Linked DNA regions of Oryctolagus cuniculus. The protein of the gene in region 1 binds, or shares a complex with, the protein of each later gene. Links are inferred from orthologs where the notes say so. Each region holds a gene or a part of one and is shown on either strand. Other genes may lie near its edges.

The links. Proteins that work in one complex are often made in the same cells at the same time.
Region 2: RBM10 (region 1) and MYSM1 share a complex: the UniProt entries of both Homo sapiens proteins name them as parts of the large chromatin remodeling complex. The link is inferred for Oryctolagus cuniculus from reciprocal best matches to the Homo sapiens genes RBM10 and MYSM1.

The regions. Positions count from the first base shown.
Region 1 is NC_091453.1:32,700,145-32,706,326, reverse strand, and holds part of RBM10 (RNA-binding protein 10), read right to left. Parts: intron 2,492-6,182; coding exon 2,308-2,491; intron 766-2,307; coding exon 535-765; intron 1-534. UniProt on the Homo sapiens protein: Binds to ssRNA containing the consensus sequence 5'-AGGUAA-3'. May be involved in post-transcriptional processing, most probably in mRNA splicing. Binds to RNA homopolymers, with a preference for poly(G) and poly(U) and little for poly(A).
Region 2 is NC_091438.1:114,363,463-114,369,644, forward strand, and holds part of MYSM1 (deubiquitinase MYSM1), read left to right. Parts: intron 1-1,028; coding exon 1,029-1,127; intron 1,128-4,205; coding exon 4,206-4,978; intron 4,979-6,182. UniProt on the Homo sapiens protein: Metalloprotease with deubiquitinase activity that plays important regulator roles in hematopoietic stem cell function, blood cell production and immune response.

The DNA of each region.
Region 1 (6,182 bases):
CCTTGAGCAGCTGCCCAAGGCTCTGTGGCCAGGCCAGTGATGAGTGTTGATGCTGCTGACAAAAAGGGAGAGCAAGAGAAATGAGAATGAAATTTCAGGAAATCTCATGCCCCCTCACCACTCCCACGGTTGCAGGGCCCAGGCATCATCTCTGTACCCAGCGACACCCAGCACAGGGCCTGGTGAGCATCTGGCCCTTGATCCACACATGCAGAATGGATGGAAGTCAATGGAATGCGCAGGGACAATGCCCTTGTCCTCCCAACAGGCATCATCAACAGAACAACCCACGGCCGCTGCCCCTGGGCCAAGCCGGCCTAGCTGACACGACACTTGTTCCTTCAAGACAAGGAGCTGACGGGGCCTGCCCACATGGGATGCATCAGTGCTGGGGACAGGAGCCGGTGGGGGAGAAGGAATGAAAGGTGCTGAGGTTGGGGGTGAGGGAGGGGTGGGGAGAAATTAAGGGCCCTGGAGGAGACCCAGCATGGCCTCCTGCTTTGCCGCCTGCCCGGGGCCACGGGGGGCACGTACGTCATCCTCAGTGGCTGCCTGTGGCAGCATCCTCAGCATGACGATGTTACTGGCCTTCTCCTCCTCCTCCTCATCCTCCTCCTCCTCCTCCTCCTCCCCTTGCTCGGTCCGATAGTCCTGGTCCCGATAGTCGCCGTCTCGGGGGAAGCCTGGCGGGCCGGTGGGGCTGTGCCTGTGCCGCCGCCGCCGCCTACGCTGAGTCTCGGAGCCCGGGGAGGCCTCGTAGGAATCCTGGCCGACAGAATGAGACGAGAGACACCAGACGGGCAGTCAGTCTGGGCGGGCCTAGGGGCTGGCCACGGGCTCTCTGAGGCAGGCAGGCTCTGAAAGCCAGGGGTGCGCGGGCTCCGGCTAAAGGCTCAGGCAGGCAGAGTGGGAGGGCCCTGCCCTGCGATGCTTCTGGGGCTAGAAATTCTCCATGGGATACTTTTGGGGAGCTGCCTACAGGAATGACAGTATTGGCATAAGGGGAGGAAGTCCCCAAGGAAGGTGCTAAGACACAACTTGAACCTCCTTCGGGTGGATCAGCTGGGGTTGGCAACCAGACGCTACCCTGGATTTCTCCCCCCCCTCCCTCGCCAACTCAGCGGGCATGTGCACAATGGTTTCCTGTGCCACTGAAGGCCACAAGTTTCCTAGGATTCCCGGCCTGGGCCCTGCAACCAAGCTGGGGGTGTAGGAACAGCTTCAGATCCGGGTTAGAGCCAGCCCGCAGGGGCTGGTGAAGGCATGAGGGTCATGGACACACTCCCTTGGCTCCTGCTCCTCACCCCTAGCCAGCCCTATCACCACCAGCCTCCTTCAGATCAGGGTGTGGTTACCAGGTTCCTAGCTATTGCCCAAAGCATCCATTGCAGGACTAAAGCAGGCCAGGCCAGGGGCTATGCCCCTCCTACCCACAAGTGGGCCAGAGCCAGATAACTGGGTGCTTTATTGCCACACTTGTCGAGAGGTCTGCCCGGGGACCACTTGGCCCCTGCAGGCGTGCAGGCACAGCTCAATGGCCGCCACAGGGGAAGCCTGGCTGTGCTCTGCTTCTGGACCCCACCATGGGGGTCTTTACGCTGAACCCCTCCAAGGGCTCACACCCTGCCCCACCCAACCCCCAGGGCTGGGCTTGCAAGCGTATCCTTCCCATCCTGCTGGACAGGGAGATCTGCCAGCTTGCTTAGGCCACAACCCTGACCACTCCCCTAAAACGGGCTTCCCTAACACAAGGCCATTTCTTCACCTCTGGTTGGGTGCTCCCTGACGGTGAGCCTCACGCCTCGCCCGTCAGGCTAACGGCAACTATCCAATAGGGTACTAGCTCCCGCAAGGGTCCTTTCTTTCTGTGTGGGCGTCCTGTCGACCCTGGGAGTACCCACCACTGGCCTCCCAGAGCTACTCGGTTTCGTGACATCCCATCTCCCAGTTGTCCTCCCAACCCCACACGCCGGGTCTCATCAAAGAAGCTCTTCAAGTATCCCCAACTGGCTGGGAGCAGGCAGTACCGGCCTTGCAATGACCCCTGGGCCCAAACTGAACAAGGAAGAAGGGAAAGAGGTAGTGGCCAGGGGCCCTCGGAAGTACAGAGCCAAGCATGTGGAAGCCAGGGAGACCCTACTTGGGAGAGGAGTCCTCAGAGAAGGGAGTGGGCAGAGACCCTGTGGGTGAGGCAAAGCCACTGAGCAGAGTCTGAAGGCACGGGAGCAGAGAGCTGCCCGCACAAAGTGCTGCAGCCAGATGCCAAGGCCCTGTGGCAGCCCTGCCCCAGGCCCGGCCGGCCCTCACCTCTGCACTCTGCTCCTCAGACGAGTCGTCGTAGTCGTGCTTGCCCTCCTGGCCGCCGTACTCGCGAGGGTACGAGCGGTAGTCCATGTCCCGGTAGTCGTGGTCTCGGCTGCGGTTCTCCCCACCATCATCCTGTGAGCGGTCAGTGGCTCCATAGCGCCCAGTCCTGTCACCCCGACCACCTCTGGGGAGGGAGGACGGAGAGGCATTAGAGGGCCGCCTGTTCTGAAAGGCGCACGAGGCAGGTGCGACCCTGTCCTGGCAACTCACGTCACTGAGGCCCTCACTCCCACCTCTGACAGTGCAAAAGCCCTCCCCTGGCTTCCTCACATCCACCCAGGCCACCCCTAGTTCAGGCTTTACATTCCAAATCCCCAAGTCCCTGTGTGTTCTCTAAGGCAAAGCCAATCAAACCCAATCACATCGCTCCCTTCAGGGGCTCCCTCTTAGCCTTCATAAAACACCCACATGCTCACTAAGGTCCTGCAAGGCTGACAGGGTTGGTCCCTGCCCACCTCTCTCCCTGCCCCCACAGTATGCTGTGCCATCCTGCTCCTTGGTTTCAGTCACCTAGTAGCATCAGCAGCACCTTTGTTAAATTCTCTCCTACTGCAATAATCGTAAAATAATTACCTCCTAGTTGGTTCAGGGGGCTGGTATTGTGGCACACTGGGTTAAGCTACTGCTTGCAACAATGGCATCCCGTATCAGTGTTGAATCCAGCTCCCGGATAATGCACTGGGAAAGCAGTGGAGGATGGCCCTGGGCCCCAACCACCCATGTGGGAGACCCGGATAGAGTTTCAGGTTCCTGGCTTCAGCCTGGTTCAGAACTGGTTGTTGAAAGCATTTTGGGAGTGAACCAGTGCATGTAAGATCTCTCTCTGGCTCACTCTGCCTTTCAAACGAATAGATCTTTTTCTTAAAAAAAAAAAAAAAAAAAAAAAAAAAAAAGTTGGTTTACAGCCAAGCCTGGACCAGGCCAAAGCCAGGAGCATTTCTTTGATGAGACCAAAAGTTTCTAGCCTGTGAGTTCCAGGAAATGAGGGGACCACATCTGCTTGGCTTACCACCATATTCCCCAAACTGAACCTGGAACCCCCATGCAGGATGTGGGTGTCTTAATTGCTATACCAAATGTCTGCTTTTTTCCCCCTAATGCCTGTAGAATGCCCCTCAAATTGGTTTTGTCTAATGTGTTCGTATGATTGGACTTTGGATTACGGGCTTTTGTTTGGAGAAGCACACAAGAGAAGTGTGATACCCTTCTGACTGTGTCCTAGCAGGGAGTACATGGTATCAACATGACTTATCACTGGTGAGGTTCACTTTGATCCGGTTTGGTAGTTGTCTGCTGGGTTTCTCTCCCGTAAAATTTCTCTACTTCTTGGGTGGGGAAGTATCTGCATATATCATCTGGAATTCTTCATTTGTGTTACAGCATTTTTAACCCAAGAGATTTGCAAAGTCCAAATGTTTGACAACAAATTCCACTGGTAAGGTGGTATGAGAAATAAGCATATTTGTACTGCTGTAGAAATAAAAGTAGAACAATCCTTACAGAGGGGACTTTGGCAATGGCCGGCAAAATTAAATCTGTACACTGATTCACAATCCTAGTTCTGGGAATCTGATGCACAGATATACTTGTATGTTTGCAAAGACATCATTCACTAAAATATTTACTACTTGGTCCTTTACAGGAAAAAAAATGTGTTGACTCCCAAGAAAATAAAGTTGTTTATCTTACTTCTTTCACTCAATAAATTTCAGAAGGGTAAAAAAAATTTAATTCCCCAATAGAAATCATAAAAATATTAGAAAACCTAGGAACAAAATCTATCACCGTAAGAATGGGTAAGGCCTATTCTCAGTGAGACAAAACCCAGAAGTCATAAAGGGGAAGAAGCGGGTACATGTGCCTTAGTAAATTTTAAAAATATCTACAGTATCAAAAAAATACTATAAACAGTGGCCAGTGATGTGGCATAGCAGGTTAAGATGCTGCTTGTTGGCACTGCATATCAGAGTGCCAGTTCAAGTCCCAACTGTTCTACTTCTGATCCAGATCTCTGCTAATGCACCTTGGAAGGCAGAAGATGGTGGCCAAGTATTTGGGCCCCTGCCACCCACTTGGGAGACCTGGATGGAGTTCTAGGCTCCTGGCTTTGGCCTGGTCCAGCCTTGGCTGTAGTGGCCATTTGGGGAGTAAACCAGAGAACAGAGGATCTCTCTCTCTCTGTCTCCCCTCCCTTTCTCTGTCACTCTTTTAAATAAATGAATAAATCTTCAGAAAAAAGGACTATAAACAGAAATAAACATGTGATAAAGCAAGTATGGTAAAATGTTAATGGGAGAATCTAGTGGATAGGTAGACAGACATTCACTCTAATTCTCTCAACTTTACTGTATGTTTGAAATTTCATACTAAAATATTGAGAAAACACCGTAAAGTCAAAAGATAAGTAACAAATGAGGAACATATCTTCTTTTAAAAAATCTGTTTATTATTTGAGAGGCAGAGAGAGAGAGAGAGAACAAACACGCAAGAGGACTCCATGTCGGTACATTCCCCAAATGCCCACAGAGGCTAGTCAAAGCCAGGAACTCAGGGATCCAATCATTTGAGCCATCACTGTTGCCTCCCAGGGTCTGCATTAGCAGGAAGCTGGAGTCAGGAACCAGAGGCCAGTACTTGAACCCAGGTACTCTGATGTGGGACACCACGCAACTCAATTGGCTTCTTAATAGCCAGGCTAAAGGCCTGCTCTGGGAAATAGCTTTTAAAGTGTCCCAGACACTTTTGCTGGTTTCCATTGTTTAAAAATTGTCTTCTCATTCATTTATTCATGCAAACAAATATCAACATAACATTTCCTATGCGTTAGGCACTGTTCTGGGCACTGGGGATGCTGCTATGAACAAAATTAAGTCCTTGGCCTCATGAGCTTGCCTTGGAACCCAAATATTGTTTCTATATGATAATACCTAGACAAGAAGTCACCATCAGCAGCATGAGTAACTTTAAGGTTTCTGATACTCAGGATTTTTTTTTATGTATGTTTACTATAGGTATCCCTTGTCACTTGAACTCCAGTCATCAGAATTCAAGAACTGAACAGACATTAATTGCAGATGAAATCCTGAACTCTCTGACACCTAGGATCTGAGCCAAATGAATTTTATTTACTGAATTCTTGCTACCTAAGACTCAGGAAGAGAACACACTTAGGTAGTGAGAGATAATTGGCCACAAGGCACTGTGAATATTCAAATACCTTCCAAAGGGAGACTCCTTTTATAATACACTTCTAGGAAGTTTGACTGAATCACAACATGAGTACATGGAGACCCTCATAAAATGAGTATATTTAAGAAAAACATAAAATGCCAAAATTGGCAGAAGAGACGAAATGGTAATAAAAAACCCCAGGTCTGGGTTCTATTAAGGGTGAGTTCCACCAAAGTTTTCAATGTACAGATATATTTTTTAAAGAAAATTTTGTTATTTATTTTCGTCTACCTGAAAGGTAGAGAGAGACAGAAACAGAGATGGATTGATTTTCCATCCACCAGTTGATTCCCCAAATGCGCCCAACAGACAGTGCTGGGCCAGGCAGAAACCAGGAGCCAGAAACTCCAGCCAGGTCTCCCACCCTGCTGTCTCCTTGCAACAGGAATGCAATTACTGGGCCATCATCCACTGCCTCTCAGGATGCATTATCAGGAAACTGGATCAGAAGTGGAGTGGCTGGGCCTCCAACAGGTGGCCCAATATTGAGATGCAGGCATCCTGAGTGGCAGCTTATCTCACTGAGCCACAATACCTGCCCCAAGGTACAGATAATTCTTATCCAAGTTTCTCCAATAAAGAAA
Region 2 (6,182 bases), on another chromosome or scaffold:
TCTTAAATAATTTATACTTACTAATAATTTTCACAGAAGTACTTTGAGTTTTAAGAAATTATTTATATGTTAGATTTTCTGGTAAATTTCAGAAATAAGCATATAAATTATGGTTTATCATTTGGCTTTGATCTTCAAAGATAATTTGCTACCATCATGCATGATTGATTACCTGACTTGTAAGTCTGACTCTAGGGTCAGCTTCCCTGAGTTGTGACTACATTTTTGTTTTTCACAGTTTTCAAAATTCCAAAAAATTAAAATTAAAGAGTTATTGACCTGTCATGGGAGGCAGAGTAGTATGTATTAGGGATTTTGTAGAGGTTTTGTATAGTTAGCCCTTTCTAAAATTCTGTGTGTTCCTTTGTATACTTCAGAATAACATGGGCGCTTTATCTAGCTCTCTGTTCTCAGTATTTTCTCACTATAGCTTCAGTTTAGGTGGTGCACAGCCTCTGACATTAGAGAGGTATAGAGAGGTGTTGGTGGTATGTCTGCTTCTTTTATGATTTGATCTCACAAGTCAGTTCACCTGTATAGAGTGATATAGATATAAATGTGGATATATAGTCTGTGATACATGCATAGCATATAAAGCTAATTGCTATGGGGCACATAATGGATATGGGTAGGATATTACTTTGAAATTAGTGCAGAGGACGTTTAGTTGATCCTGTAATTGGAAAAACATAACCTGCCTCCCTTTAGTAGCTTAGATCTTTTAAGATGTTACCTTTAATTTAAAACATCATAATATGCAATATAAATTCATAGTTAGGTAGTAGAGTGATGGATCTTTATTTGAATAGCTATATAATAAAACGAATTTCTAAATTTCTTCAGTTGATTTTCAGAAGTTTAAGTTTGCAAAAGAAGAATGTGGACTTTGATTTTAAGAACATTGTAGGAGTCCTCATTTGTACTTCAGAAAATAAAGATGGATTATTATTTCAGTTGATTGTTTTTAAATGTGGCAATTGCTTATATTAGTTAATCAAAGGTAATTTTCTTCCATTTTGATAACATAGACTAAATTTGGCCGAAGGTGGACCAAAATTGCAAAGTTAATTGGAAGCCGCACTGTTTTACAAGTGAAGAGTTATGCCAGACAATACTTTAAAAATAAGGTAAGCAGAATATAAATATCCTTGTTATTAATGATACATTTAGAATGAGCAAATTAATAAGCAGAAATGTTTCTTTAATTTAGGCATTAAAGTTTTATTGTTTAAAGTTTTTATACGGAAAGGGTTTGATATCCGTAAACTACTATATGAATATTTATTTAAACTTTAGAGCATGTCTTTATTAATAGTGTTATTAATGTCATACAGCAAAATAGAATTAGAACTTTGGGAACATTAATGCTAACATGATTTTTGAAGTCTGTTAAGTAACAATGAAATTCTTATAGTGTTGAAAAATTGAAAATTTTAATAAATTACAGGATTCACAAAAGTGCAGTTTTTTCTAGTTTCTTATTTTTTCAGTATCAACCATGCGGTTGATGACAAGAGCCTTGGGTGATTACTGACATCATAAATAAGAGTGTCAATTGTTAAATCAACAACGGGAGTCACTGTGCACCTACTCCCCATGTAGGATCTCTGTCCTTAATGTGCTGTACTATGTGAATTAATGGTAAAACTACTACTCAAACAGTACTCTATACTTGGTGTGTCTGTGTGGGTGCAGTCTGTTGAAATCTTTACTTAGTATATACTAAGTTGATCTTATGTATAAAGGTAATTGAAAATGAATTTTGATGAAGAATGGGATGGGACAGGAAGTGGATGGTTGCAGGTGGAAGGGAGGTTGGAGGGAAAAGCTGCTATAATTCAGAAGTTGTACTTTGGAAATTTATATTTATTAAATAGAAGTTGAAAAAAAAAGACTTACGAGAGGTCTTCCATCCACTGTCAAACTCCCCAGCTGGCCGCAACCGCCAGGGCTAGGCCAGGCTGAAGATAGGAGCTAGGAGCTTCTTTCAGGTTTCCAACCTGGATGGCAGCGACCCAAACACTTGAGTCATCTTCTGCTGCTTTTCACAGGCCAGTAGCAGGGAGCTGGATTGAAAGTAAAGCAGCTGGGACACAAACTCGCGCCCAAATGGGAGTCCAGCGTTGCAGGAGGTAGCTTTACCCCATGTATCGTACCACCAGCCCCAACTATGTGATTTTGATAGTTGGAATTTTTAAATATATTCTGCTCTAAGAACATAATTATATAAAATTTGAAAATATTATAAGTGAAATTTGATGTTTTCTTTCAGTGTGGCTAGTAGACTGTACCCTGTATACAAGATTTCTCTTAGTGTTAACTGGCATGGGCAGAAAGTGATAGAATATATTCGTTGTACATAAATCATCCACTTCCTCTTAAACAAAAGTACTGTTGGGGCAGCTTGCTAAGGTTGAGGTATTAAGAAGAATAAAGCTTAATGTGGTGGTTATTCTACCTGCAAGCTTTTCAAACTGCAATATTTAGTTTATCTTGGAGTGTCAGTTTTACTGAAAGACTGTGGTAGAAAGATACATTTCAATATTAGAATGATTAGTATGTTATAAAATCTAATCCAAAATATCTGAATTTTTAAGATTAAAAACGGGACCAAATAAATAGCAAGGTTGCTAGAGAATATTTCAGCTTGTATGTCCAAATCTTGTTTTCCTTCCTGCTATTCTTTTTTTTTTTCTACGTAGTAAGCCAATTAACACCAAATATTTAATCCTAGAATGCTGACGTGATATTAGGTCTAGAAATAGTCTTTCTGAAAGTTGTTATATCCCTTGGGTATAGCAATCATTTACAAAATTTTTCAAAAACTTTCTATGTAAGGATTTTTTATTTCAAGTCATATTTAATCATTGCCTTTTTTTTTTTTTTAAGATTTTTTTACTTATTAAGAGTTATAGAGAGAGAGTGAGAGAGATCTTCCATCTGCTGGTTCACTCCCCAGATGGCTGCAACTGCCAGAGCTGGGCCAGGCCAAAGCCAGGAGCCAGGATCTACATCCAGGTCTCTCACATGGGTAGCAGGGGCCCAAACACTTGGGTCATCTGCTGCTGCTTTTCCTAGACCATTCACAAATTGCTGGATCGGAAGTAGAGCAGCCGGCACTCGAACCTGCGTGCTGTGGGATATGCTGTGTTGCAGATGGCAGCTTTACCTGCTACACCACAGTGCCAGTACCTACTCATTGACTTTTATTATCATTCTTGTGTTGTATTATCAGATAGCTATGTCTGTATAGCTGATATGGAAAGTAATTGCATGACTTAAAATGTAAGTGCTATAATATTGGAGCTGCATTAAATGAACGTACAAAAAACTGTTTTTTTGTTACTGTATCTAAATGAAAGATAGGCCGGCACCTTGGCTCAATAGGCTAACCTCCACCTGTGGTGTCAGCACACTGGGTTCCAGTTCCGGTTGGGGCACCAGATTCTGTCCCGGTTGTCCCTCTTCCAGTCCAGCTCTCTGCTGTGGCCCGGGAGTGCAGTGGAGGATGGCCCAAGTCCTTGGGCACTGCACCGGCATGGGAGAACAACAGGAGAAGCACCTGGCTCCTGGCTTCGGATCAGCGCAGTGCGCCGGCCGCAGCGGCCATTGTGGGGTGAACCAATGGAAAAGGAAGACCTTTCTCTCTCTCTCTCTCTCTCTCTCTCTCTCTCACTGTCCACCCTGCCTGTCAAAAAAAAAATAAATAAAATAAATGACAGATGGTTTTAATTTACTAAGTAGGATAAGTGAGATAAATGTGATAGATTCTTTTAAGAAAAAGCTTTAAAGAAACAGTCAGCTGAGATATTAGACATTTAAGAAAAGAGCTTTTATAAATATTTTAATATCTTGTAGAACTTCTTAGTATGACAGTTACAGGTTGATTGTGATTGGTCTAAGCCAGACACGTATTTTAAACTTAATATTGACAAATAAATGGTAGTTCTATATAGACCATGGTTATTTGATTAATAGAAATCACCACATTATGAATTAATCATATATCTAAGGAAATTTAAAATGTGATCTTTTACATTAAAACTACAGTTATAAATCCAAGAGAAGCAGAATAAAAGTATAATGTATCATTAACATGCACTCACTTGAATTATATTATTGTATATTATTGTATTTATTGTGTCAGTGATTAAATTTTAAAATCTTAATATTATGGAGGTTTTATTCTGATTTTTTTTAATAAGGTAAAATGGGGTCCGGAGAAAGAAACACCAAATCAGAAAAGTAGCAGTGATCTTCAAGTTAAAAGTGAAGACAAAGGGACAGAGGCATGGATACCATCATGTTTAAGGGGACATGCTGATCCCAACTTGAATGCTGTAAAAATTGAAAAATTGTCTGATGATGAAGAAGTAGACATCACAGACGAGGTGGATGAATTCACTTCTGAAGCACCCCAGAAGAATTCTAACAGTGGTCTCTTATTAGACATTATTCCTAGTAGTAGTAGTATGCATGAAACCAATCAAGGAGAATGCATTGCATCTGATAGCCAGGAAGACCCCTTTTTTAAATCTTCCGGGGAATATCTTAAGAATCTAAAGCAAGATGAAATGGAAACACTTTCAGGCTCACAGATTACATTACAGACTGACAAACCGAGCAACAATGACAAAAAATCAGTTGAATTAAAAGATGAGAAATGTAATAAACCAATTCAGAACTATAACGGGCATGATGGAAATGGACTGATAGATGATGCGAGTCAGTGGCCTTCTCTTGAGACTTGTGAAAATAAAGATTTGAGTGACAATGAAATGCTTTTTCATTCTTCTTGTCATGTTGTGGAAGAAAGCCACGAGGAAGAAGAGCTTAAGCCACCAGAACAAGAAGTAGAAATAGATAGAAATACCATTCAAGAAGAAGAAAAACAAGCAATTCCTGAGTTTTTTGAGGGGCGTCAAGCTAAAACACCAGAACGCTATTTGAAAATTAGAAATTACATTTTGGATCAGTGGTAAGAAAAAATTACATTTTAGATGCCTTTTTAAAAACCTGATACTCTTTAAGTGTTTTAGTTAGGCCTATGCAGAATTTAGAATTTTGGTGGCAATAAGAGTGTTTTCACATAACAGCATTTCAGTAGGAAAAATTTAACTTTCTCACAGTGAAACTTTTTTGAAAGCTTTGGTCATGTATAGCTGTCACAATACCATCTGTCTGTTCATCTGAGTGTTTGTGCTTGGAAAGAAAAGGGATGAATAACTGCTTCAAGAAGCAATTCCTTGGGACAGAAATAATGCAGATGTAGAACACTACTGTACTGGGAATAGGAGAGAATTTTTCTTTTTGGGATTTATCATGTACTTTAAGTGCAAAGAAGGAAAGATTTGGTGACAGAGGATGGTATCATTAAATGTGGCCTCTTTGCAGAAACTCCACCTGAACAGCTGTCTTAAATGCCTTCAGCTTTAAACTTGTGGTGGAATATGCTAATAATTTCTTCATCCAGCTTCATCAAGGTCCAGGAATTTTCTAATATGTGAAATTTACCCTCTAAATTGTTAATACATTTTACTTGAACTATTTAGTGGGCCTAGGGAGCAAACCAAAAAACTTCTTACCTCGTTAACCTGATAAAAGTAATTTGAAGTAATCTTGACATCTTAATTAAGCCATCATTAAACACTCATAATTGCTACTACTAGTTCATGAACTGTTGAATCATATAGGGCCATTTTTAGAGAGGGCTTCCCAGTTCCTTGAGTAGGGATTCTGCTTTGTCCCTTGTTTTTCTCTTTTGTTCTGTCTTCCTCTCCTTTGCAGTAACTTTCTGCTATAGCTTTGGAAGGTTACATAAAGGAAACTTAATAATGTGCCAAATCAATAGCCTTCATTTTGCCCACATAATATTAAGTCATTAGGTTTTTAAAGGTAGCAGTATTCTAAAAGGAGGATTTTTGTTCTTGTTCTTGATACATGGTTATCTTGCAGATGCTTGACATGCCAAAACAACTTCTGGGTAAGGAGGCAGCATAGTAAAGAATGCTGACAAGGAACAACTGTCATTTACATGGTACTTAGCTGCTTAAAGAAAGACTTGCTCTCTGTTCTTATTTGCTGTATAGGCCTCACAGCAGTCCTCTGACATAGTGAAAGGGACTTAACCAGCCACTGACTCCTGAAAGACTTCATTTCAAGTCTTGACTATAATCAAGTAA